Caenorhabditis elegans: one gene and its partners. The protein of the gene in region 1 purifies or fractionates together with the protein of each later gene. This does not show direct contact. Each region holds a gene or a part of one and is shown in the gene's direction. Other genes may lie near its edges.

Evidence for each region.
Region 2: the proteins of zyg-9 (region 1) and acbp-3 fractionate together in Caenorhabditis elegans (co-fractionation; one large-scale study listed by BioGRID). This does not show direct contact.
Region 3: the proteins of zyg-9 (region 1) and tppp-1 fractionate together in Caenorhabditis elegans (co-fractionation; one large-scale study listed by BioGRID). This does not show direct contact.
Region 4: the proteins of zyg-9 (region 1) and dao-3 fractionate together in Caenorhabditis elegans (co-fractionation; one large-scale study listed by BioGRID). This does not show direct contact.

The regions. Positions count from the first base shown.
Region 1 is NC_003280.10:8,454,464-8,465,197, forward strand, and holds zyg-9 (Zygote defective protein 9), read left to right. Parts: upstream 1-3,354; 5' UTR 3,355-3,357; coding exon 3,358-3,549; intron 3,550-3,595; coding exon 3,596-4,453; intron 4,454-4,500; coding exon 4,501-5,079; intron 5,080-6,581; coding exon 6,582-6,668; intron 6,669-6,767; coding exon 6,768-6,920; intron 6,921-6,969; coding exon 6,970-7,423; intron 7,424-7,470; coding exon 7,471-7,817; intron 7,818-8,015; coding exon 8,016-8,528; intron 8,529-8,645; coding exon 8,646-9,574; intron 9,575-9,650; coding exon 9,651-9,786; 3' UTR 9,787-10,049; downstream 10,050-10,734. Other genes in the region: F22B5.5 (DUF1248 domain-containing protein), read right to left, coding at 1-128; F22B5.6 (Serpentine Receptor, class J), read right to left, coding at 214-368, 441-515, 665-758, 1,236-1,394, 1,439-1,498, 1,651-1,680; fars-3 (Phenylalanine--tRNA ligase beta subunit), read left to right, coding at 10,389-10,446, 10,583-10,638, 10,682-10,734. UniProt on the Caenorhabditis elegans protein: Plays a major role in organizing microtubules and spindle poles during mitosis and meiosis in one-cell stage embryos. Required for default nucleus positioning in oocytes.
Region 2 is NC_003284.9:10,900,667-10,907,506, forward strand, and holds acbp-3 (Acyl-CoA-binding protein homolog 3), read left to right. Parts: upstream 1-2,605; 5' UTR 2,606-2,614; coding exon 2,615-2,675; intron 2,676-2,758; coding exon 2,759-2,879; intron 2,880-4,067; coding exon 4,068-4,161; intron 4,162-4,245; coding exon 4,246-4,320; 3' UTR 4,321-4,422; downstream 4,423-6,840. Other genes in the region: F47B10.8 (MARVEL domain-containing protein), read right to left, coding at 4,721-4,875, 4,926-5,002, 5,054-5,133, 5,188-5,297, 5,419-5,512, 5,717-5,850. UniProt on the Caenorhabditis elegans protein: Binds medium- and long-chain acyl-CoA esters with very high affinity and may function as an intracellular carrier of acyl-CoA esters.
Region 3 is NC_003279.8:3,783,675-3,789,718, forward strand, and holds tppp-1 (Tubulin polymerization-promoting protein homolog), read left to right. Parts: upstream 1-2,913; 5' UTR 2,914-2,919; coding exon 2,920-2,969; intron 2,970-3,119; coding exon 3,120-3,266; intron 3,267-3,317; coding exon 3,318-3,565; intron 3,566-3,609; coding exon 3,610-3,707; 3' UTR 3,708-3,822; downstream 3,823-6,044. Other genes in the region: C32E8.4 (uncharacterized protein), read left to right, coding at 268-435, 487-501; rpl-13 (Large ribosomal subunit protein eL13), read left to right, coding at 4,368-4,534, 4,579-4,744, 4,795-4,881, 4,985-5,188; ptr-2 (SSD domain-containing protein), read right to left, coding at 5,740-5,907, 5,954-6,044. UniProt on the Caenorhabditis elegans protein: Regulator of microtubule dynamics.
Region 4 is NC_003284.9:8,082,582-8,089,789, reverse strand, and holds dao-3 (C-1-tetrahydrofolate synthase, cytoplasmic), read left to right. Parts: upstream 1-3,239; 5' UTR 3,240-3,240; coding exon 3,241-3,363; intron 3,364-3,652; coding exon 3,653-3,826; intron 3,827-3,948; coding exon 3,949-4,327; intron 4,328-4,792; coding exon 4,793-5,010; intron 5,011-5,359; coding exon 5,360-5,377; 3' UTR 5,378-5,580; downstream 5,581-7,208. Other genes in the region: Protein vem-1, read left to right, coding at 1,229-1,351, 1,411-1,662, 1,879-2,055; K07E3.4 (formate--tetrahydrofolate ligase), read left to right, coding at 5,887-5,889, 6,509-6,607, 6,657-7,113, 7,173-7,208.

The DNA.
Region 1 (10,734 bases):
GTCGGATTCTTCACAATTTTTAAATCCTTTGGAATCAATTTCTCCGAAGAGAAACATCTTGATGATGCTTTGTTGAATCCTCCAACAAGTTTGAAAACTTTGCTGGCCGATTGCTTGCAACCATTCATCTTGTGTTGAAAACGGAGTAATGATTTAAAACGCTATTTATTTAATTTCAAAATGTATTTAAATAAATTGGAATACGTGAAGACCTTATTCGAAATCTTCATGCCAACGTGGCCTGTACAATCCAGAGAATGTCCATGAAAATGCAGTCAATAAAATATGAAGTGGAATGAAGACAGCTTGAATTAGTAGGTCGAAGAATACATTTTTAAACTCCGATGAAATAGCAGTTTCGCATCCTGCTGAAAAGATTAAAGATTATCAAAAATATAGCTTTGATATAAAAATGATGGGAATAAGGAAGACAATCTCACCACTTTCGAGTTTCCTAACTTCTTCACCAGTACTATTCGAGGTAATTAAGTAAGTTTGTATACCTAATTGACGACCTGAAATTAGCTGCAGAATGTTCTGTCAAAATACAATTCACACAGTCATACACAGCTAGTGATTGTTATGAAAAACCTTTCGAGTAACTTTCGTTCAAAATTGCCAGAAATGTGATAGCTGCCCTCTAACAAAATAATTAGAAACTTACATGAATAAATTGTTGACATTTTTGCAAACCATATCTCAACAATGTGCCCCAGTAGATATCCGGTAACAAACAAACCGCACGCAACAACTGCTATCTGAAATTTTTTTGCAAGCATTATTTCTTTTCGTAAAAATATTTTTCATTTAAAAAAACACAATCAATGCGAGCACCGCTAAAGTCAGAATGCACTACCAAAAACTGTTTTCTCGCGGGACCCATCCTAAAAAAATTGTGCGCGCCTTAAGGAGGAGTTTTTAAAAATTGCTCTTATAGTGGAGAAATGTTAAAATATCATACTAAATATAATTTGAGAAAAGTTTTTCCCGTTTTTTATCTACAGTCAAAAATGGTGGAAAATAGGTTTCACCTATAATAAAATTGGTAGTCGACCAAAAATTTGTATTTTTTCTACGAGTTTTATAAAAGCTTTTATTGGGTTTCAATTGCTTGTTTTTAACATTCAAGATGTTCCTTTCCCACTGGTCGAAATTTCTCAAACAGTAAAATTTTCGGAAATACCAGTTATTTTCCAAAACTTTTCCTGTGATACTCGAACCAACTTGAAACTTACATTCATAAATACCACATATCGGAAGGTAAAATGTGTTTTGAACAGAATATCTACGATAATCAAAGAAGTAAGAATACATAAAAATGCAGTGGTTACACATGTCAATCCAAAATGAGTATTAGTTGCATTTTCTGAAACCGATGGAAGTTGATGTTTTAACTGAAATTATGCATTATTGCTAGAGATAATAATAGGGAAAAAACCATTAACGATTTTGCCACGAGATGAGTTGAGCATATTCCAAGAAATAATATTGGAAGACTCTGAAATTTTATTTGAAAAAAATCGTAAGAAACTCGAAGTAACTGGGATCAAATACTACAACAATTGTCATGTCCTACGTTGGAAATTTTAAAGAAAACTGTGAATGATTTTTCAACATGTTGTCTAGTTTTGAAATAAAAGAAAAACGTACTTGTACAAAAAATGGAATGTTCTTCGACATCGTCAGAAGAACGACTTTTTCGCTGACTCAACTGACACTGTTTCATGATACATTGTTTTCTTTTATACCGTATGTTTATATGTATGTTATTGTGTTATAGACGAATTTTCGATGAGACAAAATATGTGAAAATTTTTATTTAGAGTCAAAATATTATCTTCGAGTTCACCGTGAATTATATGATATTGCGCCAGAAGCCACCAGCTTTCAGGAACCGTTGGTAGGATAAGAGCCTCCAAGAAGTACGATGGACGTTTTTTTTGTGAGATCCACGTCGAGAGACAACACGAATTAACATAAGCAAAAGTACCATAGGGGTTTTTCATGCTTCTTCTCACGAATTGTTAAAATTTAGATTTTTTTATTCAAAAAAAAAAGGTTTAATAAACGCGTGCTGCATGCAACACTAACTTTCGGGCCCTTTTTTTTACGCGTGCTGCATACAACACTAACTTTCGAGCACTATTAGAGACTGCAGTATTATCAGAAAATAAATATGATGTTTGTAAATTAACAAGAAACCATCAAAAATATACAAAAACACACATTATTAGAGACTGTAGTACTATTGAAGATGCAGCGCTAATAGGAAATATACGGTATTTGAGAAATCGATAGAAAATCTGCAGTAACCAAAGTTTGCAACAACAGTACTCTTTAAAGACGCGCACCTTTTTCATTTATCAAAAATTTGTCGTGTCGAGACCGCACAGCATTTTTGGCGCCAAATTTCCTGTTTTTCTCGCGTTTCAAACGCGTTTTTTAGGCGTAGGCTCATTTTTGTCTTGTTACAAATCAAAAATTTTCATCTCCCGGTCTCCATATCTGAAATTGACCTTGATCGATGGCTTAAGCGCGCGAATTCTCCCTTCCAAAACACTTCTTGTTCATTTTGCATTCGTATTTTTGAAATAAACATTTCTTCGTTGCGCTTTAATTATTTTTAAGACCAAATTTCGCTATTTAACAGAGCTTTTTAGAAAATGTTTCCTTTCTTGTTCAGTACGCAGTTGACAGCCCCGTCGTTTTACGCGCGCGTTGCGTATCAAGCATGCCACTTGACGACATTTTTATTCGAACGCGCGGTAGAAAATAGTTTTGAAAAGCGCAACGGAAACCTTCTCGCTTTCGCACTTTTTCAATGAATATCAGTTGTTCCCATGTGAGCTCATCATTAAATTGTTTAAATAATTTGTCGTCGCAAGTTAAGCTTTTCAGTGTTTGTCGCACAGTGTTAAGCGTTTGTTCGAGATGTTTCGTCCTTTTTTTGAGATTTTGTTTCTTTGTGAAGCACTTCCATTATCTAATTAATCAAATTTATTATCTGCGTAGTGTTTTAGTATTCACTTGGCTCGAACAAAAAGTTGTATAAAGAATTCATTGATTTTTTGTCCTTTCTTTTTTTTTGCCGCGTAGTGCAACTGAGCCGGCCCGTCCGCCTCTGTTTCTCTGTTTGCGCTTCTTTTTGACGGGTTGCGAAATCGGTCGAAAATGGGCTTGCGGCGAAAAAGTTCCATGTGACCCCAATTACCCCTCGCAGTTCGAAAATATTGATTTTTTCCCTCTACGTTCTCCACCGGAAATCTATTGTTGAAATCTCCTTTCTCTTCAAAACTTATTTTCGTTCGCTTTCTTTGTTTATTGCAAGGCACGTAGTAAACTGTCATTTTTCAGATAATGTCCAATTGGGATTATCTGGACGAGGTGGATATCCTTCCCAAACTTCCACCGAACTTCGATGAGCTGCGAGAATCCAAAAAATGGCAGGAACGAAAAGAGGCATTGGAAGCACTTCTCAAAGTACTCACGGACAATGAGCGACTTTCAACAAAAGCTTCATATGCCGAACTTATTGGTCATCTGCAGATGGTTGGTTTTCATATTTTTCGGTCATTTCTGCAATCTCATTTTACAGGTTCTAGCAAAAGATGCAAACATCAATTGCCAAGCGCTTGCAGCCAAATGCATCGGAAAATTCGCAACGGGATTACGTGCAAAATTCTCTTCTTTCGCAGGACCACTTCTTCCCGTCATTTTCGAAAAAATGAAAGAAAAGAAGCCGATGCTCCGAGAACCTCTTGTAGACTGTTCCAATGAAGTCGGCCGTACAATGCAATCTTTGGAAACTGGTCAGGAAGACATTTTGGCGGCGCTGGCCAAACCAAATCCTCAGATCAAGCAACAGACTGCACTTTTTGTGGCTCGGCAGTTAGATTTGGTGGTTCCAGCAAAACAACCAAAAGGATTCATCAAAGCTGTTGTGCCTGTGTTTGGAAAATTGACTGGCGATGCAGATCAAGATGTCAGAGAGGCATCTCTTCAAGGTTTAGGAGCTGTTCAGCGCATCATTGGAGACAAAAACGTTAAAAATCTCCTCGGCGATGCTTCTTCCGATGAAGGGAAAATGAAAAAGATTGGGGAATATGCTGAAAAATCAACCGCTAGCTTCGCAGAAGAACAAGCTAAAAATGCTCCACCAGTCGCTCCCACTTCTTCGACACCTTCGGCAAGTGCTGCTTCGGGAGATCCATCCGGCGGAACAGCAACTGCTGTTGTTTCATCTGGAGCTCCAGTTGCGGAAGCCGATCCTTGGGATTTTCTTGACGCTTTCGACGTACTTTCCAAAATGCCCGACGGTTTTGATACCAACATCGAAAGCAAGAAATGGCAGGAACGAAAAGAAGCGCTTGAAGGTTTGCTTCAATTGATCACAGCGAATCCGAAGCTCGACCCAAAGGCAAACTATGGCGCACTCGTTGAGAGATTGCAGAAGGTATGTGTATTTTGTCCTGAAAAATTATTTTAAATTCAAATATTAAGGTCCTCGAGAAAGATGCAAATATCAATGTGGCTGCACTAGCGGCCAATTGTATAACTGGTATTGCTAATGGTCTCCGTACGAAGTTCCAGCCGTTTGCTGTGTCTGTGACTCCAATCATTTTTGAGAAGTTCAAAGAGAAGAAACCAACTCTACGTGATCCGCTGGTTGCTTGCATTGATGCAGTTGTTGCAACCACAAATCTCGAAGCAGTTGGAGAAATCGTACTCGCAGCGCTCGGAAAACCAAATCCAAGCATTAAGACTCAAACGGATCTTTTCCTTCAACGATGCTTCATGAAACTGAATTCACAGACCATGCCGAAGAAGACTTTGAAGACGCTGATCCCGTCGTTGATAAAACATTCTGGTGATTCGGATTCGGAAGTTCGTGAAGCATCATACGCTGCAATGGGAGCAATGATGAGAGCCATTGGAGAAAAACCTTCTCTGCAACTTCTCGCCGATATTGCATCGGATAATCTGAAAATGAGCAAAATCAAGGAGTTTCATCAGAAGGCGTTGGATGAAGCTGGGCCCGCAGAGATTGCTGAAATGGTCAAATCGATTCACAAAGCAGATGTGAGTTATTTTATTATTATTAACCAGCCGCTGACCGCGCCTACGGCGCGGGCAACGCCTGGCACCATTAAAAGTATTTGACACACATACCTTCAATCACTCAAAAAATTTCTCATCATGAAAAAAACTTGAAACACTTAAAACGCGGTTTACTGGCACTGTTACATGTATGTATTTTTCTACGACATGCATGTTTCAAAAATTCACAGACAGTATGAAAACTTTCTGTTATTTTTTGACCAAGACAGTAACCTTACAATACCACTACAGTACCTTGACATTATCCTCCACCGACTCCTAACCCAATACCTCTTCAAAGGACGAAATGCCAATTTTTCCAAAACTACAGTAACCCTACCGTATACCTACAGTACCCCTATAGTAACACTACAGTACCTTGACTTGATCCCCCATAAACTCCCGAATAACTACCTCTTCTAAAGCTCTAAGCTCAATTTTTCGGAACATTCCAGAATTTTCTCGATTTTTCTAGAAAGTTCTGGAACATTACAGAAATTTCTCGATTTTTCTAGAAAGTTCTGGAACATTCCAAAAATTTCCCAATTTTTCTAGAAAGTTCTGGAACATTACAGAAATTTCTCAATTTTTCTAGAAAGTTCTGGAACATTCCAGACTTTTCCCAATTTTTCTAGAAAGTTCTGGAACATTCCAGACTTTTCCCAATTTTTCTAGAAAGTTCTGGAACATTACAGAAATTTCTCAATTTTTCTAGAAAGTTCTGGAACATTCCAGACTTTTCCCAATTTTTCTAGAAAGTTCTGGAACATTCCAGACTTTTCCCAATTTTTCTAGAAAGTTCTGGAACATTCCAGAATTTTCTCGATTTTTCTACAAAGTTCTGGAACATTCCAGAATTTTCTCGATTTTTCTAGAAAGTTCTGGAACATTCGAGAATTTTTTCGAAATTTCCAGAAGATTCTAGATTTCCAGAATTTTAGAATTTTCAGAAAATTTAAATTTCCCGCAAAAATATTTTTCACAGAAAACTTAAATTTCTCGCCGAAATATTTTTCTCAGAAAATTTAAATTTCCCGCCAAAATATTTTTCACAGAACATTTAAAATTCCCGCCAAAATATTTTTCACAGAAAATTTAAATTTCCCGCCAAATTATTTTTCACAGAAAATTTAAATTTCCCGCCAAAATTTTGGGTCTTACCACGACGGGTCTCACCACGGTGGGTATTACCACGATGGGTCTCACCACGACGGGTCTCACCACGGTGGGTCTCGCCACGATGGGTCTCACCACGATGGGTCTCGCCACGATGAGTCTCACCGCGAAGGATGACAGACCCCGCCCACAATTCTCAGTGACTTTGGGTGTGACGTCACAGACTACAAAGACTACATAGACTACAAACTATGGAACAAACGGAATTATTTTTTTATATATAAGTAATGATAGTATTTAGAAGTATTCACTGATGATTTTTGTACTGCTTATTTGTAATTTTATTGTGAATGTGTTGTCAAATTTAGGCTCCGCCAGCTGCTGCACCACCGAAAAAAACAGCTCCACCGAAGAAACAACCGGAAGATGAGGAAGTGGTCGAGGAAGAGGATGAGGTGATTAAAATTGTGTTCTTATTTCCATATAGTAATTTGTATCGATTGTGTGGTCGTTTAAAACTGAAAACTTACAATTTTTTATTATTTTTTTTTCAGCCCCTGAAACCACCACCAGGCGATAAGAAGAAGAAAGTTCCCGTGAAGGAGAACGAAGAAAACGAGCCTCCCGTTGTTGCACCAAAAGCCGAACTTTTGCTCAGTGACAACGAGGATAAAAAGCAACGAATCAAGGAAGAGAAGCAATTAAAAGTAATTGCTTTAAATGAGTTAATAATCATACATTCTAATTAATTTGCAGTTAGTCAAATGGAATTTCCAAGCTCCGACTGATGAACATATCTCGCAACTTCAAACCCTGCTCGGAAACCAAGCGAAAGTGTCTCTAATGAGTCAACTTTTCCACAAAGATTTCAAGCAGCATCTTGCGGCTCTTGATTCTCTGGTTCGCCTTGCCGATACATCTCCTCGATCTCTTCTATCCAACAGCGATCTTCTATTAAAATGGTGCACTTTGCGATTTTTCGAGACCAACCCGGCCGCACTTATCAAAGTTTTGGAATTGTGCAAAGTTATTGTGGAGCTAATTCGGGATACAGAAACTCCAATGTCACAAGAAGAGGTGTCTGCATTTGTTCCATACTTGTTATTGAAGACAGGAGAAGCCAAAGACAATATGAGAACTTCTGTCAGGGATATTGTCAATGTACTTTCAGATGTTGTCGGTCCACTCAAGATGACACCCATGCTACTTGGTATGAGAGAAGAAGATCAATAATGTTCTAGTAATTTTTATTTTCAGATGCGCTGAAGTCGAAAAACGCTCGCCAACGTTCCGAGTGTCTGCTAGTCATTGAATACTACATTACAAATGCTGGAATAAGTCCGCTGAAATCGTTATCAGTCGAAAAAACAGTTGCTCCATTTGTTGGTGACAAGGATGTCAACGTCCGAAATGCTGCTATCAATGTTCTCGTGGCTTGTTTCAAATTTGAAGGTGATCAAATGTGGAAAGCAGCAGGAAGAATGGCAGATAAGGACAAGTCGTTGGTTGAGGAAAGAATAAAACGAACAGGAGTGAAACCGGGATCTGGTGTTGTCACCTCGCCGCCAACTGGAGGACCCAAAATTTTAGTGCCACAACAACAGGTTAGTTGTTTAAAATATTTCTCGTAATGAGTCAGGTTCCCTGAAAGATCACTTGAATCGGCCATACAGTCTTACGAGTTGGAAGTAAATAATATTTTTTTTTGTCTCAAATATTTGGAGTTAGTAGTGATTCCCTATTCGATACCCACGCGAAGTTTCGTTCAGTTTTTAGAAAACGAAAAATTACATGTTTTTCAGGGTTCGGTTGTTCGTCGTCCTGCTTCTCGATCTCGTACTCGTGAACCTGAACCAGAAGAAGTTCAAAGCGACACCTTCACTATACGACAAGACACAATGCCTCCAAAAACTTCATCTCGCTATGCACTTCGTGACGACGTCTTTTCGTCAGCCATGGGCCGTCTTGATGGCACTCAAGTCATCACTCCACCACAACCTGTCAATGGCTGGTCAAACAATACCTTCCAAATGAAGCGGACCAATTCTTCATCGTCGATTTCCTCCATAGACACTTCTGATCAAATCCAAAGAAGCATCAACAATATTTCGAGCAGTCTTGCAGATGTTGCTCAAGATGCTATGTTCCAGGTCACTTATGTTCTTAATCAACCTGAACAACGTCATCTTGTTGATCGACGTGCCGATTTGGTGTTTCGTGCATCTGCTGCTCAATTAGATTTGGTGATTGAAGAATTCAATGCTGGACGAGATGTCAGTGGAACTATGGACGCTTGTACGCAAATGCTTTTCATTGTAAGTTATATTTTTCATATGTCATAGTAATCAAGGGGAGTTCCGAAATATATCTGGCTCTCTTTGTTTCATTTAGTCATGCCATGTATATGTATATATCCAAATTTATCTTTTCAGTTGATGGGAGGAGTCGAAACTGAGCACGGCCTTGAGCCACTTAATGCGTCCCCCGACACAGTCAAAGCCATCATCTCTTCGGTCCTCAGATGTATCATCCAAATCGGTAACACAGAGTCCGGATACGGAATGGCAAGATCTCTCAATCGACTGGCAATGCGATTAATCTACAGAGTTGAGCTGTCTAATCTGTTGTGCGGATTGATTCTGGCAATGACTGAATCACTTCAAATGAACACCGGTATAACCGAACTTGTGTCGAAGCTCTCGTCGAAATGGTGTGATGAACTTGAAAAGAGAAGAGCTCAACTGAGAGCCTCGGATATAGTCGACTCATTCAATGCTTTCTACGTTTGTGCACTCACAGAACTTAAAATGGACATCAGCGATTCACACATTTTGATAGTTGATAACTATTTGGAGCGGGTTATCCTTCAGCAAGGAGACGTCGTCTTGGATGCTGCCCGTCGTCTTTCTCGACCACATATGCACTTGACCAGTATGATCAACAAGATTTTACAAATGATGAGAGAACGAAAAATTGATCCTATCATGCCTGGAACATTGGAAGCCAGAATGCCACAAGAGGATGAAGCAGTTGTAGTGCGAAGCGGCGTTCAAGTTTCGATCGACAATATTCTGCGTGATACCTCGATGGCAGTTAAACATATTGAGCAACTGAATATTCTCATTGCATCCAGTGACCGATCTTGGAATGAGTATATGGAATATCTCAAAAATAATCCAATGGGAGAGCTCATCAAGGAGCTAGTCGGCGAGTGTTCCAGAAAGAAGAGGATTGACTTTAACCTCTCTCATGTCGTTAAATCGTCAATGGCAGTTTTCAAAGCCATGGCAGCTACTGGTCCTGTTCAAGAGGAAGGTAGAATAACTCCAACAGATATAAACAGAATGGATACTATGATTGTGTAAGTTTCATAAGACAAAGAACGTAATTTAGCTCTCATCTCATATTTTGCCAAACTAAAAAAAACTAATTTTCAGTGGAACACCTCTATCTCGTGGAGACGCAACCATCACTCGTGCGCGTGGAAACATGATCCGTCCAAAGAGAACCACATTGAGCCGAGACCAAATGGCGAACATTCGTCATACACTGGACAGAGTCAAAAATCATTGATAATTTTATCCCTGCCCCTTAAAGTGCATAACACGAAAATAACGAGTAATTTCTTACACCCGCATTTTTACTGGTATTTTTTAGCTCTATGCTTCAATTTTATTTGCTTGTGAAATGTATTTTGTATTGTAAAATCATTTTGATTACCAGAAGAATTTACTGATCTGGAACTTTAATTTATTGATTGATATTCGTGGAAGAGCTCGGAAGTATTTCAGTTTTTTAGCGCTTATTTCATTCCCGGAAATAAATTTATTGTTTAACTTTTAAAAAATAACTTCAGCAAACAGACTCTCAATAAAAGGCGGATTAGCGGATTTTATTTGAGAATTTCGGTTCGATGACTGTTCTATGGAAATACATGAGAGTTTCGCTTTAAAGGTTCTGATTTCCAGAAATTTATTTATTTTTTCCATTTATTAATTAATAATATATTAAATTCCAAAAAAAGTATTGTCCGCAATGTGGCGTCACCGTGTACACCTTGGTTGGTACTAAGGACACCGAATTTGCCGACAATCCAAATTAATCCTATTTTCTTTTCGGTCTTCTTGATTAATTTCTCTAGATTTCCATAGTTAATTCATTATATTTTCAGCGAAATGCCAACTGTGGGAATCAAGAAAGTCATCCTTGACAAGCACTTCAAGCGAGTCTATTGTAAGTTTCTAAAAAAAGCAGTGTAGTCTGAAAAATGTTGCTACTGGAATTAAAGTAGTAAAAGCAATGAACGGATATCAAAATAAATTCGTAGTAAACTACATTGTTTGTATTACCAATAATGTTAAATTTTCAGCGGAGAAGGAGTTCGACGAGCTCTGTTTCGAATATGGCTTGGAGTTGGACGAAATTGTACGTTTTGGTTCAAATATTTGTTATCATATTTTATTTGCAGACATCTGAGAAAGCCGCTGTTGAAAAAGAGCAAGGAACAAGAGCTGCGTCTGA
Region 2 (6,840 bases), on another chromosome or scaffold:
AAAACAAAGATAGGAATTCAAATTTCAGACTGCCGAGGGATCAGGAATATCAAAGATTTTGTTTTATATTCGTATTTTCAAATGCATGATCAGTTGGAATAAATGTTAATTTAAACAAAAAACTGGAACAGCGTACTAGCCAAAAACATTAATTTCAAATTGGGAAACCCACGAGATTTCACATAAAAAAAGGAATTCGGCCTCTTAAAATAACTACTCCCATAATCACATATAAAATAAACTAAAGTAATATTGATAACAATTGGATGCAATCAAGCTCCGTGCATCCATGTCACATCAAAACAAGAGGGGCCAACGAGAGGAAAAAAGGTTGAGTTGGATGAAATTATCAGTAGGGGTAAACGAGGAAACAAGAAGGTTTTCTCTTCTTCTCTATGTTTCCCCGGGACATAGAGACAGACAACGATGGATCAATGGAATTGTCAGAGGGAAAGACGAGAGAGAGAGGACCCATCTGCGTGTAGTGTGCAGCGTTGTTGTGTCCTTCTTGCATGCCGTTCCAACGTGAGACACACAACTCTATTTCCCTTTTTTCTTTGACTCTCTTCCCGCCAAACAGATAGGATGTTGAGTATGAAGAAGAAAATGAGCGTAGAGTTGGAAAACCAAAAGGCATTTTTTCGCTCTGGGTGAGAAAAAATGAGAGAGAATAGACAGAGTCTTGCATTGGATAAGTGGGTGGATAGAAAGACGTCATATTTCTTCGTTTGATTCAATTGGGTATTTACTGATCTTTGAAAAAGTATTACTGTCTGGCAATGTACATGTATAGATTAAAGTCTCTTAAAGTTTACATGTTTTCTTGAAATGTAATGGATCAAAAATACACCACTCTTCAATTTCAGCCAGAGCAGGCACCAAAATCATCTCTACATCTACAAAGGTGACAACGTGGAACGTAACGTGGAAACGAAAACAAAAATGAAAACGTCGAAAACATGAAAACGTATAAATGAATACAAAGTTTTATTACTGAACTCAGCAGAACAGTTTTTTATTTTTATTTTAGAACGACATTATACAACCACAGTAAAAACAGTGACTATAATAATTATTCTATAAAGAAAATTAACTTTGTTGAAAATTCTAAAATCTTATAAATACGGTTGATCAGTTACCATGTGTTTGTTACTATTTGTCAGACAGGTAAATTTTTTGAAAAACATAGCCACCAAAATAAAAACACGCAACAAAGTCTCACGTGGTCATTAAGCACCAAATTTGAAACTAGTCGCAGTAACATGGAAGGTTATCTTTCCAGTAAAACGTCATGCCACTAATGTTTGCTGCAGCTACGCAACTTGAATTCCATGTTCTTATCAGATAACACGTTGTATAGTCAAAAATCTAATGTGATGTCTGTATCATTGTGTTTGTCATGATCTTTTTGTATATTTTAAAAACCTATTTTCAACTTTTAATGTGATTTTTGTAATTCTTGAAAAAAGACGACCGTCAAGCATTATGAGGGACAAAAATTCATCTACGAAACATTTACTAAAAATTTAACGTTTAAAAAATTATTTATACTCCAAACTAGGTATTTTCCTTGTTTATCCGAGAAAAAAACTAATAAGTACGTAATCCAAATAAGCATTTGGCAAAATTGAAGATTTAATTAAACTGTCTGAAACGAGTAACTTATCGGAAACAGTCGTAAATTTCAAAAAACATTCAATTCTTTTAAACTGGGTGTCTTCATAAAGTTTGCAAAATATACGAACAACAGAGAAAATAAGGCAACAATCGGTGAATTCATAAAATAAATATATTATACTTTTTTTTGAAGTTTATGGTAAACTTTGATTATTTTCTATTATTATTTTCGATTGTTTCCCACTTTTTGTTATGCTCTGAATATTACAAGAAAAGTGAAATACATTTTGGTACGTGTGTATTTTATTTTGAAAGTATATTGAAGTTTCTACAAAGAATTTTTTTACATTTTATATTAAAAAGATTTGAAATATTTCATATGGTTTTTGAACATTTTTTGATGTACAGCAACCACATAAATTTCAATTTAGAAGTAAATTCTAACAATAAGAATACACGTTTTTACTATTGTCAAATACCTGAGTTCAATTTATTCTATTTTTTTCTCAAAATGATATTATCCTATTCCATTCTCCAATGGTATCCTTTAAATGAGTGTAATCTCTCACCCGCAGTTTTCCGGACAATTAATTGTACTGTCCTTCCCGAAGACCAGCGCCAATGATAAAAAGATGACGTCTTGTTCACGGGAAGACACGATACTGAATGGGTCATCTTTATATCCAGGGAAAAGATTTAGGTCAACAGCAGCAGCCCGTTTGTCCTTGTAAATCCGATCGGGCTGACGGCGCCCAACGGCACTACTCACAGATTTCTTCACGTTCAGTTCTCCCTGTTTTGTACTTTTTGGATTCTAGTCTCGTTTTGATGTCTTGTTTGATTTAAACCGTGTTTGATAACTAAGTAAATAGGTGTAGTTTATTTCAAGGCCTTTGAAAAAGTCAATCAATTTGCAATTTGAAAACCGCTTCGAACTTTTTAATCTTTTTAATCTATTCATTAACCTAAAAATTTCAACGCTTTCTTATTTCAGAAAATGTCTCTTCAAGAAAAGTTCGACGCTGCTGTGGAAATCATCCAGAAACTTCCAAAAACAGGTACGTTGGACTTTGATTCGCTACAATGCTACAAACTATGCTATGATGTAGTTGATTCAAAGCTAAATTTACAATTTTTCTAGGACCAGTTGCCACCAGCAATGATCAGAAGCTTACCTTTTACTCTTTGTTCAAACAGGCTTCTATCGGAGATGTGAACACCGATAGACCAGGAATTTTCTCCATCATCGAGAGAAAGAAGTGGTCAGTTTTTTTTTTCATTATTCCTTTGTCTGATTCGAAAAAGGGGAATTCTTTTTTTCTTATTTCATTGACAAATGAGTCATGACCGCGTGGCTAGCTAAACTGCATCAGAATTGCGTGAGTTATGTGTGTTGATTTTTTGACCGCAATATATATTAACTTATCGCTATGCAACAAATGTCGGCGTTGTGTCTGCAAACGATGCAATTATCATTTTCTTCGAATATGGTGCCACAAAAAACGAGTAGGAACGGATGATTGTGAAATTATCAATAAAAAGTTTTGAAGAAATGTAGAGTGTCGTTTCTGATCATTGGTCTCTTCAAAACCATAAACTATGTTTGAAATACCCCTTAAAAATAACACGAAGCCTGTATTAATGTTTTCACGTTTGTAGAAACATGGATTCAAAAAATAATTCCGTTCATGGGTACTTGTGTAGTTACTGTATCCCACAATGTATGCAATGGATAAAATTCCAAAATGACCACAACGTAAATAACCATTTTAATGCTCAATTCATTTTTAGGTTTAGATTTTTCCTAAGTCTAAAATTCAAAAAGAACTCATATTGTATTTTTGAAAAAAATTAAAAAGATTTTTTGGTGTACTGATATTACACAAGTACTCGTTCATGAATAAAAAGAACGAACCCATCAAACATATGTGTTGGTGGAACATTATTTCAATGCTGGCGATAGTGAAGGTTTTATTCTAAAAGGCAATAATACAAAAAAGGCAATTTAAATACAAGTATTATTTAAAATCAGAAAGTTTCAAAAGAACGAGTGATCGTATCTAATTATAACAGTCGTGATTTTGAAACATCCATAAAAAGGTAGTATATCTTGTAATGTTTTCTATTTATTTCATTGGCTGGCGCTAAAAAAAAAGTTGTAAAAGTGTGGAGTGCTAAGATCGCAATTCTAAACAGACTGCTGGTATAATTTTTCAAACACCGATTTTTAGTGCACTTTTAATAGTACACATTTCTAATAAAATGTACAATAGTAATTGAAAAAGTTAGATGGGTCAGTTCCAATAACTCAAAATAGTTTAACTACTTGTCTGAAAATGGTACGTTGCGACTATTGATGTTGAAGCCATGTAAAAATAACAATTAATTCCAACTGGCTCACAGTATTTACTGGCATTTTCCTGACCAACCCCAGTTAATCCGATTTCCAGGGACTCATGGAAAGAGCTCGAAGGAGTGTCTCAAGATGAAGCTAAAGAGCGTTATATCAAGGCTCTAAACGACATGTTTGACAAAATCGCCGAGGTATGTGAATGGGTCTTGTCGGCAAACGTTTGAAGTTTTTGTAGCAGAAACTAGTAGTTACGTTCAGAATTACTTTGTTTTCAGGAACTTGATGTTGCCGCTTGGCTTGAACAAATTGACCCAGTCATCAAAACCAACCTCGCTCTCATTGGAAAGTAAATCTTAATTATCATAAACATTTTTTTTTCAAATTTCGAACAATATAATTATTTGTATTGCTTCTTGATACTAAATAAATATGAATTAATTTTGTAAATTGAATAACTCTATAGTTTTACTGTACATTGGAAGAATCTTGCATGAAAATGAAAACTATGAATTGCATTTGTAATAGTGAAATTTGAACATTGTATGTATACATAATTTTTATTGCAGTAGAGTTGAAACTGTGAATAAATTTTAAATCCACAATATAAAATAAAAATGAAAATCAGACGAGCACCCGAGAAGGAAATTAAATGAATTCGGAATACATAAGAGATCAACATAATGTTTGTGTGTAAGAGATAGTTCAATAGAAAGCACGAGGTTAAACATTTCAGATAAAACATTGCAAAGGTTATAAGCGTTCCTTTTTATCCATTTCCTCTCTCTTCTTGTCTTCCTGGTATGCAAAAAACTGAAAAGTGCGGTAGACAACATGCAAAAATATGCAATTTATGACTATAACAAACGACATGGCAGCCATCACACCCAGTGTGACCAGGATTGCAGCTGAAAAATTTTGAAGTATAAATATTCACAAGTAGTATAATCGTTCTCACTGGTAACACTTTCTCTTGATCGGAAGTGATACTCATCTGGATTTGATCGCAAAGCTTTAAGATTGTCGAGGATGTTCCTGTAAATATAGTTGTTTTTAGTTTGTTCCGAGTCTGTTAGTTCCCAAAACCTCGATACATCACTAGTTCCCTTCAACATGTGGTACACAAAAACCAGGAACAAAATTATCATGCCAAAGTTCCATATTACCTGCAACATAATTATACGTTTCATGAAAAAGAACGAAGCAAAAAATAAACATACATTGTAAAACAAGTACGGCTTCAGCAATCCCGAACGTTGCTTTGAGACACCACAAAACAGAGTCAGCAGAGAAATGCAGTCGAATATAAGAAGGAACGCTTCGAGATATCCTGCAAAAAAGAAAAATAGAGAAAAGAATTATATGAATGAATTACAAATTGGATTTTGAATAAATTTAGCAAAACAAGTATGCAAATAGTTGGTATAAACAAGAAATTGTGACGTGCTTACCGTTTAGACCGAGTTTTGAGATGCCCATAAAATATAGAACAAGGTTTATGATAAATCCTAAAAAGGCAAATACTGCAACTGCTCGGCACGCTTTCTGAAATGTTGTTGTTGTTTTTTAAACATTATATTTCAACTTTCTTTTATTATCTGCATCGTAGAAAAACTATTCAAATCACATTTATAGTCAACAATTTTTAAAAAAATTCACACATTTTTTTGCAGTCGCTTATTCTACTTTATCTGAAAACTGACTATCTGCTGAAACCAGTAAAAGGGAACACTTTATATGCGAGCTTACTTGAATATGACAAGAATTGCAGCAATAACTGTTGGGAGGAATGGGATCTTCCGTGAAACCCAGGCTCACGACAGTTTCCCGTTGCGGCGTTTTCATTATTCCGTTTCCGTTTCCGTTTTCATTTCCGTTTGCATCTGCAAACATAACAGTGTAATAGTAGAGATCACGATAGTAGATAATATTTCGGTCCTTGCTCATGAATGCTCAGAATGTGCCAAAAGTGAATGCACAACATCTTGGAAAGAAAAGATTCAATAACAGAAGTGTGCGTCCTAAACAATGTTGAAATTGAATCTTGACCACTTTTTACTAACTTTGAGAGGATAAATGTAAAAAAGAACTGAGCATTTTTTTATGTTTTTAAAATAGAAGTGTAGTAAAGAAAATCGACTTACAATGCGGAATCTTGATAATTGGACAGTCAGGGTTATCTGATTCCAAAACAACTGAATACGGCTCAAAATTCATCAGACACAGGATGGCAGAAAATAAATCAAAAAATGAAGAAAATTTTGTAGAAGCTTCAACAACTCCGTGCACAGAATTATTTATTCTAGAATAGCGTGATAAAAACGATCGTTTTTGAGTTATCGGCAACCTTGAATATTCTAGTATCAGCAGATTTTCAATTTTACGCAGACAGACTTTTTATCCAAATTTTGATTTTTGAGGTGAGCAGTATATGGATATGCATGTGTGTTGTTTTGGGCACGTCTTGGATTTAGAAAAAAACATAAATCACTGCCATTCAAGCGCTTCGTCTTCTTTTTTACTCGGTTGAACACACCACAGGTGATCATTTAAACACAATTCGGTTTTGAAAAATTAAATATAATTTGAGAACTGTTGATGAAATGATGATTTTGTTGGGAATGATGATGAAATAAAAATCGAAGCCGTAAGTGCTTGAAAAATTTTTTTATTAAATATTTTCACAATTGATTTTACCATGTCCATTTGCCATAGTATTTTCAAAGCATACATATTTTAAATTTTTGGAAAAAATATTGGAGGCTTTGCGTTTCTCCCCGCATTTAATGCACCACCAATTGCTCCAATCGTGCTTTGAAAAGCTCATCTACCTTCGGCGCACTTTTCACGCCCTTATCAATGATAGGTGGCGC
Region 3 (6,044 bases), on another chromosome or scaffold:
GTACCGTATTTTTAGCGCAAAATTTTGCGGCTGGGTAATAAATTTAAGAAAACTTGAAAAAATCACTATTTCCGTGACAACTTTATTTTGGAAAAATAGGACTATAATTAAATTTTATTTAAAAAATTAATAGAAGATTTTCAAATAATTCGTGAAACCGAAAAAATTAAGTAGTTCACGGACACCATCTCCAACACACCACTGGCCAGTTCTATCAATCAGTTTTCGGTTCGTTTAAACTCGAAGAACAGTCTTGACCAACACGAGATGTATTCACTTTTGACGCTCCTCTTCGTCCTCTTCTTCTCTGGAAGCACTCTGCTCGTTCAATGTGGTGGAAAGAAAAAGGGAGCAACTTCTGCCGAAGGAAAATCTTCGACGATGGGCCCGGCTCCTGGAGGAGCTCCTGCTGCTGCTTCCGCTCAAGGAGAACCTGTAAGTTTTTGTGCAGCTCTTTTTTCCAGATTTTATTGTAGTATATTTCAGGAAGAGAAGGAGTAATGAACAATTCTACGCCAAGCAAGAGACCTTCGATGAACTAGTTTTATTCACAATTTCTTGTTTTTTCCATCTGAAACTGAACACAAGTGCTCACCAAAAAAAGAGTAAAGCCTCAATTTTGTGCTGAGCCGGAATTCAAAATGCGTGCCTACATAATGTGCATGTCTTTTTTACGATTCCATCGCTCTCTTTTTTTGCATTACATTCCAGGCCGTCATCTCCGTTATACTACGTTTTTTCTTGTTTTCTCGGTCGTCGTAGAGGCTTCGAATTTTCTGTGTTCATCAGTTCGCCGTGCTTTTCTCGCTTATCAAATTTTCACATGTTGACACACCCTTCTTACTCGGTTTTTTGTTTGGGAGAAATATTGACTTTTTTCAACTTTTTTTCTTCAAACTCGTGTTGCCGTAAGAAAATCTAGGCTTGATGGTTAAAATTTCTACAGTAATCTGGCGAGCGCTGTGAAACCCGCGTTTGAAACGATGTGCGTCTTGAATGCGTACAGTAGGATAATGTTTTTGTTTTTGACATTTTTTCATCCAAAATTTTGGCCAAAACGCTATTTTCTCCATAAAAATCGCTTTAATTTCACAATTTTCAAGTTTTTTACTGTTAATTATTCTGAAACGATAAAAACTTGCGAAATTGAATGTGTTTTCTTAATTTTCTTAGTTTTTTCGCACTTCTAGGATTTTCAGATTTTTTCTAGGATTTTTTCAGAGTTTTTCCAAGAATTTTTAGAGATTTTTTTTCAGAAGCAACACTCTTTTAAACTGAAAACATAGGGATCCTCATGACGTTTCCACGAAAAATCCCCAAGTTTTTGGACGCCATCATTCTTTCTCATTTATTAAAAAAAAGTATACACAAATATTTATTAAATTTAGTTTGAATCAGAAAAATATTCAAACTCTACGTTTTTCCGTTGCCCAAAACGAGTTCATTAACGTATTCCGTACATGTGTAGATCCTTAGTTGTACAGCAGAGTTCAAATCCCCTATTTCTTCCAAAAGCACACACACAATGTAGATATCAAGTTTCGAGTTGACTGCTGCTTCTGCGCGAGAAAGAAGACGTCCAAAACAGGGAGGCTGTCAATTATGGATAGAGATCGTGGAGACGCAGGCGTGACCGTCGCTAATCTAGTTCCCATTTCGTCTCTCTCTCCAGTCAGTAAACCCAGCGAATTCTGTCCGTATGCCTCTTGCTGCATCACCAACTCGTCTCATACTCCTACCTCTCTGTTATTTTATTTCATTTTCAAATTTTACCCCCCACTCCCTCCGATGTTTGTTGTCTTGTTTTACTATCTTCCTGCGCACTCTCATGCACACATAGGAGGAGTGGCAGGTGACGAGAGAAACAAGAAAAAGATGGAGGGACAAGGCGCCTCTTTTGAGATTTGAATTTTTCATCCAGCCCGTTTTATGTATGGGAAACAAAATAGTTTAATTCTCTCTTCTCAGTAAGACCTAAACCTAAAAGCTATAGCTTTCTCTTTTTTATACATTTCCTTTCAACTAATAATTTATCATTCTCAAAGAATGGAATATTGGAAACTGCGTTAATTGCCTAATAAAGAACGCCATCAATAACAGATTCCGCACCCAAACAATTAGTGAAAGCTCCACCCATTTCTGTCCTTTTTCCGTTTACTTCAGTTCTCAAATGTTTTGAAAAAAGTTTTCAAAACAAAACAGTTCATATTGCATTCATGAATTCCCATCGGCGCCACTCAATTTCGCAATTTGCGCAGTGAGAGTTTCCGTGAAAAGTTATATTTCGAGAATTTCGCAATACTCTTTTCTTTTTATGTATTTCTCAGCCACAAAGAGCATGTCCTACTGATGATTTATCCGGTGTAAGAGAGGTCGAAATACGCGATTGAAAAGAGGAAGAGAGAAGTTTTTTTCTCATTTCATTAAAGAACGCCGTTTGCCCTATCTCTCTTCACTTTCTCACCCGTTTCCTGCTAGTTCAAAACTTCACTAATCACCGTCCGAATCTCTTTGGCTCGTTATGCTTTTCAACTGACGGACGGCGCAATTAGGGAACAACGTTGGCGTTGCGCGAAGAATGAATAGATAATAATCTTGGCTCTCGCCCCATTGTGCTCTTTCTACTCCACACTCAGCTTCTGCCAATTCCTTCCGACACATGGGCTTTTATACTTCTTCTTCCTCAAATTGCTAAACAAAGTCAGAAATCGAGTGCAGATATTGCCGCCACGTGATTCTCTTAATTCTCTTATGCTCGATAGAGCTCCACCTATTTTTGATTTATGCTCTCCTCTCACGCAGTTTTCTCAACTCTCTTTGAATATTTCCATGTTTCCATGGTTGCCATCGAGTGCTCATTCTTTTCCGGTCGTTATTCCTATTTTCACTATACAAACACCTTTTATTTTTCAGAAAATCATGGCCGCTGCTGCTGGATTCAACTGGGATGATGCTGATGTGAAGAAAAGGTAAATTATTTGGATTTTAAATTATAAACTTTGCAAGAAGTCCAGTAGTTTACCGATTTCAATTTTGGTAACCAGAAAAAAATTAACAAAACATTGTTTTTCACACAGTTTCGAGTTAGAATTTCGCATCAAAACCTTTTAATTTTCTAGATGGGACGCGTTCACCAAATTCGGAGCTGCTACCGCCACCGAAATGACTGGAAAGAACTTCGACAAGTGGCTTAAGGATGCTGGTGTCCTCGACAACAAAGCCATCACCGGGACAATGACCGGAATCGCTTTCAGCAAAGTTACTGGGTGGGTTGAACTTTACTGTCTGCATCGAATTAACTAAAAAATTTATTATAGACCTAAAAAGAAGGCCACTTTCGACGAAACGAAGAAAGTGCTGGCATTTGTCGCCGAGGATCGCGCGAGACAAAGTAAGAAGCCGATTCAGGACGAACTGGACGCAATCACAGAGAAATTGGCCAAATTGGAAGCGCCGAGTGTTGGAGGTGCGGCGAAGGCCAATGCGGCCGGCGTTTACAGCCGTCTCACCGATCACACAAAGTATACTGGAGCCCATAAAGAAAGATTCGATGCCGAAGGAAAAGGTATTTGTAGAAAATGAATTCACGAAAGAAATATGTAATTTCAGGAAAAGGAAAATCAGGACGTGCGGATACAACAGAAAATACTGGATATGTTGGAGCTTACAAGAATAAAGATTCCTACGATAAAACACATGGAAAGTAATCAAAGATCTCTCTATGGACCAAATAAATGCACTTCTTTTTCTTTTCGTTTTGTCTATATTCTCGAATGTATAATTCCCAGTAATATCTTTGTATTAATAAATTTATTTATTTAACTTTTTTTAATCTAAAATTCAAAAGCAAATAATTTCAGTAATTTTTTGAATTAAATTAATTCCACTTTCTAGTTTTTAGAGATGATAAAGTAGTTTGAAGTTATGTACCATATTAAAAATTATTTTCAGAAAAGTTAAGTTCACTGAAAATACCACTTTCTTATTGATTTAACTATTTTAAATGGAAATATTCAATTTTATAGACTGCGAAACAAATTAGGCACACATTTTGTTCCTGCGTAAATCGACACAAGTACACAGGCAGGTCTCGCAGCGCTTGGCTGCCGCAGCCAATTCGTTGGCTGAGTATTCAACGTTGTAACACTGTGAAGAAGAAACCCATAGAATTTTTCTGAATTTTTTCTTTTCTTTTTTGATTCAATATGCTGATTTTTTAAATTTTCTCCCGGAAATTGTTTTAAAAATATCTATTTAAGCTTTTTTTCGCAATTTTGCGTTGTTATTGAGTTATTTTCTGTATTTCTATCGCAATTTTCATTAGTTTGAACTAAAATCGCAATTTTACTTCTTTTTTTCAGGGTACAATGGCTCCACGTGGAAACCAAATGTTGGGCAATGCCCATTTCCGCAAGCACTGGCACAAGCGCATAAAGACCTGGTTCGACCAGCCAGCTCGCAAACTCCGCAGAAGACAGAACCGTCAAGCTAAGGCTGTCGAAATCGCTCCTCGCCCAGTTGCTGGACTTCTCAGGTTAGATAGAATTAGTCTTTTCATTAAATATAGTTTCATTTCAGATCTGTCGTCCGTTGCCCACAGAAGAGATACAACACCAAGACTCGTCTTGGACGTGGTTTCTCTCTTCAAGAGCTCAAGGCCGCCGGAATCTCCCAGGCTCAGGCCCGCACCATCGGAATCGCCGTTGATGTGAGAAGAACCAACAAGACCGCCGAGGGACTTAAGGTATGTAATAAATTATTTTGCATGAAAATTAAATGTATACAATATTTTAGGCCAACGCCGATCGTCTCAAGGAGTACAAAGCCAAGCTTATCCTCTTCCCGAAGAAGGCTAGCGCACCAAAGAAGGGAGACAGCTCTGTAAGTTTTTTTTTGCATTTAATTAAGTTTGAAAGTATTTTTGAACTTAGTCGATAACAGTTTGTTAAATAATTCCTGCATAATATGAATATTGATTTTTAAGGCTGAGGAGCTCAAGGTTGCCGCCCAACTTCGCGGAGATGTCCTTCCACTTTCCCACACCATCACCTTCGACGAGCCACGCCAAGTTACCGACGCCGAACGCAAGGTCGAGATCTTCAGACTTCTCCGCAAGGAGCGTGCTGACAAGAAATACCGTGGAAAGCGTGAGAAGAGAGCCAGAGAGGCCGCTGAGGAGAATAAGTAAATTGTTGATTTTCTCTGTTCATAAACTTGTTATGAAAGTTAACAGTGACTTACCAACGAACAAACGAAATGCAAATAATATTCTAAAATACAATACGTCTAGTTTAAGTTTTTATTTGAAAACTTATGGTCAAAAGTGAAACATCAGAACGGGAAAGTTGATTTTGAGTTTCCGATTGTAAATCTTAAAAATTCTGTCGCTTACTATTAGTTTAGGTTTTCATTGTGATTTTATTCGCTACTTGAAAAATATTAAAGTTTAATTTCAAGAAACGCATATTAATCCTCAGCTTTTGGTAAAAATTTGTAGCACTGAGAAATAGGTGGCTGTTGGCTTAAATATCCAATTATCCGTTTTCTTATTTTTGACCGATTTGTTCTAAAAATGTCTCCTTCCCATTCTAGACTCACTGATAATGTTTCGAGAGTTAATAATATTTAAAATTTCAATTAAGATATTCATTCACATATATTTAAAAACAACGTAGAACATTCACAATATTCTACAAATACACGTATTCAATTAGTTAATGAGAGTCATTGGAAGAAAGACTAGTCTAGGTGCTCGGATTTAATAGAATTCTTTGATCTGTTGTGTACAGTTGGAGATTCATCGGTGTACTCAAGCCTATGCGGGAAGCTGATTGGTGACGAGGCGCGGAGCGGAGCAACGGTTCGCAAATCGAGTGGACTAGACGAGATAGCGGCGATCCTGATTTGCTGAAATATGGGAAAATGAGAATGTAGTGATAATTTCAGATCAAACCTTTTCGATTTTTTGAGCGCTGGGATGACCATGCGGTGAGCTAGGGATTATGCAACATCCACGTACGAATATTGAGAGCAATACTGGAAGG
Region 4 (7,208 bases), on another chromosome or scaffold:
ACAAAATCTTTGCTACAAATACTACTCGTATTGTTTGTGATGACTGTGGTGAAAGTAAGAAGAATCGAGAGACATTAGGGGACAAATATAAAATAGAAACGATAAGGCGACGAAAACGCACATTCTTCTCGATTTCCGACCGTCAATCGCTGAGTGAATAATTGTTGACGGCAACTGGGAAAATCTGTGAGAAAATAATGTACCATGTTTTCGAATTTCTAAAATTAGAGATAATTTCTTCCGTTTTCTCTTTTACATCTTGTTTTCTTCATTTTACAACAAATCCTTCTTCTTTCTCTTACCGCTTTGTGCACTTGCACTGTAAATGACGGCAACTTACGGACCTAGCGTTCGACGAACACAGTCAAGGACGCTCACACATCGTCGACGGGTTCACCTGCTCTGTTGCAGTGATTTTTGATGTTTTTATTGGTGACTAGTTTTTGACTTTTTACAAAATGTATACTGTTTCTGTTACTTTTTTGCATAAATCATTTTGTTGAATAAGTGTTTCAGGAAATATGATTTTTCGTGAACTCTCACTTGTTTTGGATTACACTTTTTGAATTATATTTTTCATATATTTGCCATAGACTCAAAAAAACTAAAATTTCATTTATTTACAAACATTTTCCCCTAGTGTTTACACTCCATGACTTTTTGCACTTCCCTAGAGAAAAAATTTAAATCAAGTTTAGTAAACATTTGTCATCTCCAAAGTCTCCAGACAACCAAAAGACTTTACTAAAAGTTTTTTTTATTTTCTATTACACTTTACTATATTTTGCACCGAACCATCTTTTGAAACTTTGTGTTTTGAGAAAAATCAAAACTATATTTATTGTTGTTGCTGAAGAGTACACTTTTCATTCAGTTCGAGGGCCCACTTCACTTTTCTTAAATTCGCAACAGTACCTCCGCCACACTATGTGCTATTTCATTGAATTTATGAGACAAGTAGTGAATATCACGTTTGAACTTTTGATCTTTTTGCTTACGTTTCCGCTTCAATCCGTTGAAACCTATAAAATAAATCCGTTTAATCGACGAGGTGGGAGGCGCGTGCCCTTACTCGATCGCGATCATTTAACCAGTTCGAGGCTCGCTGTCTAGAATTGTTTTGTCCTTCTAACGGTTCCCTCGCACTAATGGTTTGATCTATCAACGACCACCATATGTTCGAGTTTCAATTTTATACGTTTGTCATTTTTTCAGCTGTACAGTCACAATGGATCTTAGCTCTTGGTTTGAATTCACAATGTACGACGCGGTCTTCCTTGTCGTCGTTCTCGGATTCTTTTTCTACTGGCTCACCAGATCCGAGCAACCGCTCCCAGCTCCACCAAAAGAAGTAAGTATTTGATTAGCTTCTTTAATGAACATGTATTTTTTCTAAATCCTGAACTTAAGCTCGCCCCATTGCCAATGTCCGATATGACAGTTGAAGAGCTGCGCAAGTACGATGGTGTCAAAAATGAGCACATTCTGTTTGGACTCAACGGAACTATCTATGACGTGACTCGCGGAAAAGGATTTTACGGACCAGGAAAAGCCTACGGTACACTTGCCGGGCATGACGCTACCCGCGCGCTTGGAACCATGGACCAGAATGCTGTTTCTAGCGAGTGGGATGATCATACTGGAATCTCTGCTGACGAGCAGGTAGGCTATGCAGTTTTCTCATGAGTAAGAACGTGAAAGTTCGTTATAAACATTTAATCCTTAAAGTCATTGTTTTATGATTTGTGGTATTTATTCATAACTCAGGCATAAACCATAACTTTTTTGTGTCATCAATATGACATCGAAGCTAATTCAAATGTATATTGCCTCGGTCAGATTGATTGTGAACAAAAAAACCTAAATTGATTTTTACAGGAAACCGCCAACGAATGGGAGACACAGTTCAAATTCAAGTACTTGACTGTTGGACGTCTGGTAAAGAATAGCTCGGAAAAAGCAGATTATGGAAATAGAAAATCGTTTGTTCGTGGAGCCGAGTCTTTGGATTCGATTATCAATGGTGGCGACGAGGGCACAAAAAAGGATAACTAATTGTATTCAAATCCATAATTGTTGCACATTCCAAAACGGTTACATCTTATTTTATGTTCTTTGTATGATATGAAATCCCATTGTCCATCCCTTCTCACCATCTCTCGCAAATTTTATATAAATACTGTGATTTAGTTGTTTTTCAAATCGAAGAATGATTTTGAATAAATGATTTTTGTGTACGCCTTTGAAAAATGTTAATATTTAATATTTACTTCATTATTTTCACTGTTCAATTGCTCCGATAATTTGGATTGTGCAGGTTTTAGGACATTATTGATAAGACTTGTTTTCTTCATTTTAAATCATTTGAAAAAAACATTTGAGAATAACATGTTTTGATTTCTGGTTAATAGAAATAGACACTTTTTAAAAATCAACGTTTCCCAGTTTATAAGAAAAATAATGAGTTTCACATTCAAATTTGCAAGGTAAGAAGTTTTCATGATAAGATCCCAGTCCCATTGTAGTCAAAATGTTGATATGATTATTGTTTTTATCTCGGCAAATTGCTGGGTAAAAAGAGATTTTGCGTCGTATGGATGCCGATAAGATTTCTGTGTTATGCGCGCGCATTGCATGCAAGGCCAGCCGCCGACTGTTATCGATTTTCATGGTCCGCCGCCACGCGTTCGTATTGGACATTTCTGCACTGTGTCCATTATTTTGATATATTGTTAACATATAAGGCAGCAAAAACTTTCAAAAGTATTATTTTCATGTGACAAAAATTGAATTTTGTTCCTTGATACACTGTTTTCATTTTCAAGCAAACATGTTTAATGCGGAAGCTTTGACATCGAAACTGTCGGTGGAACATGTATTTTCCATGAGAATGTCGCTGACAAGCAACTCTAGTCACTCGACACATAAAATCATAGCGATCTTCAGCATAAGATAACAAGGCCAGGCCGTTTTAAAACTCTTCTCATCACTCCCCCACAAACAACAGACCGCTATGCATATTCAACTTTTTCGACGCTTTATTTTTTCACTCTGTCCCCCACCATCGAAATGTGAATATGTGCTAAGTTTCCAATCAGCTTGTCCTCTGACTTCTGCACTAGTCTCTTCCCATGAATAGCCAAGTACAAGAGGAGTTTCGTACTCTTTTCCTTTACTCTTCCCCTTCTTGTTTTCTTGACGTATTTTTCAACTTGATTATTACTTTGTTTATTTTTTAGAATGGTCGCGGAGATCGTCAGTGGACTCGAGTACTCAAAAAAGGTTCTTCACGATGTCGGACAGAAAATCGCAAAAACCCGTGAGCACCACCCAAATTTTCATGCAGTATTGGCAATTGTTCAGGTATGAAAGCTTACCACTGATAATAATTTTATTTCAAGCATTGCTATTAACTTAATAATATTTCTAAATTGAATATATGAAAATGAAAATCTCTGTCCAATCTGTGTTTTGAGTTCATGACGTACATAAGTGCATTGCATACTTACAAAACAGATTTTGAAAGTTTTGCAGAGCGTAATTTGTAGTTGTGGTGTACTTTTGAGATACCGGCTTTTATTTCGTAACAAGACAAATAATATCCGAGGGGATATCTGTTATACTGAATAACTCAAAGTCTCAAAATTTGCAGGTTGGAAATCGTTCAGACTCCAATGTGTACATTAATTCCAAACTGAAAAAAGCAAAGGAAATCGGAGCAGATGGAAAACTCATTAAGTTGCCAGACACCATCACTCAAGGAGATTTGAAGCGAGAGATTATGGCTCTTAATCATGACAACGAGATTGACGGAATTATCATTCAGGTTAATATAACGGATTAAGTTGTAATATTGAAATGTTAACTTATAACGGAAAAAAAACACATCTCAGTTAATTAAAAAAAAACATCGGAAGCTAAACAATAATAGCAAGTTATTAATTTCAGCTTCCACTGGACTGCAAGCACGAAATCGACGCAGACTCTGTTATCGACTTGATTGACCCATTGAAAGATGTCGATGGACTGACTCGTATCAATGCTGGACGTTTGGCTCGTGGAGAACTCCAGCGTACGATCTTTCCTTGCACTCCGTTTGGATGCTTGTACTTGGTTCAACAGGCAACTGGTGATGCCAACTTTGTGTCTGGAAAGGAGGTGGTTGTTTTGGGACGCTCGAAAATTGTCGGATCTCCAGCCGCTGCGCTTTTCTTGTGGCATCATGGAACTGTGACAATCTGCCACTCAAAAACTCCAAATCTCAAGGAGAAATGCCTGAGAGCAGATATTTTGATTGTGGCAATTGGGAGAAAACATTTCGTCAAAGGTAGATTATCAATAAACCTAAATTTGAGATAGTGCACAGTACTGGCCATACAGATATCAAAAGATTGATTTCAACTTCAGCAAACGTGGTTATTCCGAGCTGAGATCTGACTATAGTAAAATAGTGAAAGTTTTTATATCCTGATTTTTTGGAATTCATCATTGAACAAATTTCGCGTTGCTTTTTTCATAATTACGCCCAAATCCATTTAAAAGAAGAATCTTGGCAAAAGTTATTACGAGTAGACCTTTATATGAGCAGCACGGTATTTACTTGCTAACCTAAAAGTTTGTAAGTCATTAAATTATGCAAAATATCTATAATAGAAACCCCAATTTAAGAACTATCAATGTTTAGTATGCACCTGACTGTTTGCAACTTCTGAATTGTTTTGCATCAAATAGAAACAGACTCTCTGTTCTGATAAGTGTCAGCGTTTTTTACAAATAAAAGCATATATTTCAGCTGATTGGATCAAGCCTGGCGCATTCGTCATCGACTGTGGAATCAACGTTGGTGACGACCCAAACTCACGCAAAATTTACGGAGATGTTGACACAGAAGCCGCAAAGGAAGTCGCCGGATTCCTCACACCTGTCCCCGGAGGCGTTGGACCAATGACTGTTGCCATGCTCATCCGTAACACATTTGAGCAGGCTAAGAGACGACGTCTTGGACAAAAGGTAAAATAGCTTTCCTTTTGCGACACTAAGTTTGTGCAGGTTTTTTGATGTTCTGGCCTAAGCGTGGATAGTGCCAAACAGTTTGTTTTGCGTGTGGGGTTGATACTGATGCACCAGAGTTTATTTCAAAAATTACAAAAGACACCGATAGCACGTTATCGACTCAAAGAACTTCAAAAATTCATTGAGCGATAAACTCTACGAAACAAGCAAATTTCATGGACATTGTCTTCATTATTTACACCGAATGTAAAGTTGTTCTGCAACTATAGTGTGCCTCACACAAAATCGATTGAAAATATGTTAAAAATATTTGTAAGTGTTGTATTTCACAGAACCTACTTTTCAGGATGACGATGATGAGTGAACTTCAAGCACCCACTTCCACCACATCATTTGCGAATGAACTATTTATAATGTGCTTTTTGGTTTGACTTTTTACTCTTTAAAATTTGTTGTGACGTTCTGGAACTTGAAGTCCTCTTCATACCTTTTTTTAATCTAATCTTTTCAATTTGTATTTTCTTTTTATTGTCACTTTCCACCGAAATAAACAATGACCAAGGACACAATTAGCCCTGATTTGTAAAAAGACCATGGTCTCGCGATAAATGCACGTGGTTAGTTTAGATGTTTAGATGCACGAGAGCGACGCAACATCGAACAAATCAGAGGACGCGATCAATAAGGCAGACCCGGCAAATGCCCCCCGTGCATGTTTTCTGTGCGTCTCCTAATATCTGATACTGACTCGATTACTTGTTCTGCCCACTGCCTTATCAAGGTGTTTGTATTTAGTGGCCATCGCTCTGCAGTTGTTTGAATCACTCGCTTTTTATTTTCGTTGATTCATTGGTTTCTCTTGAATTGTGAAACATGGTAAGTAACACTAACGTTTTGGGATTTGATTTTTAAACGGAAAATGCAATTTTGAAAACTCCAAAAATAACAAAAATAATTTGTTCATGTTTTGAGCGTGAGCAAAAAAAACAGAACTTGTGTATAATAACTCCACACTGTAAAAATACATTTTCAAAAAAAAAAAGAGTCTGAAGATAAAAAAAAGAGTATTATCTGTTAAATTAATATGTACATAGAAATTAATCTTGAAAAAGCGTCTTTTTTGTTTATGTTGACTAATAAAAACTTAATATGTCCCAGTTTGATATGTTGTCATACATTTCTGGAAAACCTAAAATATGTTACTTTCTTCTGATAAACCTGTCCGTGCGTTTTATCGTTTTTTAAAGTCAAGTTGCGAATTGCAACATTATCACTATTGTCAATCTATTTTATTGATTGATAAGAATCAAAATATAAAAAAATAAGAATTTTTGATCGAAGTTCCCATAAACATTTAAGTCACAATTTCTATCTTTTCATCAACTTCAATTTTCAATTTTTCACGCTGCTTGCGCCGCAAATTTGACCGAATGGTAATTCGATTAAATGTTCCAAATCAAACATTATAATTTCGTTGAATTATTTTTTATTTCAGAGCACATGGAATGTTGAATACTTGAAGCCCACCCTGTTAACTCCTGTTCCATCGGATATTGCTATTTCGAGAGCTCAACCACCAAAGGACATCGAAAAGGCACTCAAGAATATTTAATTTAAAAAAAACTTATCTTCATTATTTTCAGGTAGCTGGGGAAATTGGAATCAAACAAGAAGAGCTTGACCTTTATGGACGCAAGAAGGCAAAGGTTTCTCTTGACATTTTGGATAGACTGAGCGAGGTTAAAAATGGAAAGTACGTTGTAGTTGCTGGTATTACGCCAACACCTCTTGGAGAAGGAAAATCCACAACGACAATCGGACTAGTTCAAGCTCTCGGAGCTCATCTTCACAAAAAGGTGTTCGCATGTGTACGCCAGCCATCGCAAGGACCAACGTTTGGAATTAAAGGAGGAGCTGCTGGAGGAGGATACTCTCAGGTTATTCCGATGGAGGAGTTCAATCTTCATTTGACAGGAGATATCCATGCAATTACTGCAGCCAATAATCTTCTTGCTGCTGCAATCGATGCTAGAATGTTCCATGAGTCAACCCAAGCAACTGATGCACTATTCAACAGATTGGCACCAAAGAACAAGAAGGGTTTGTTTGAAGTCCCTTTTTATGGCATAGAAATAAATACATTAATACTTACTTTTCAGGAGTCCGCCCACTTTCGGAGATCCAACTTCGTCGCC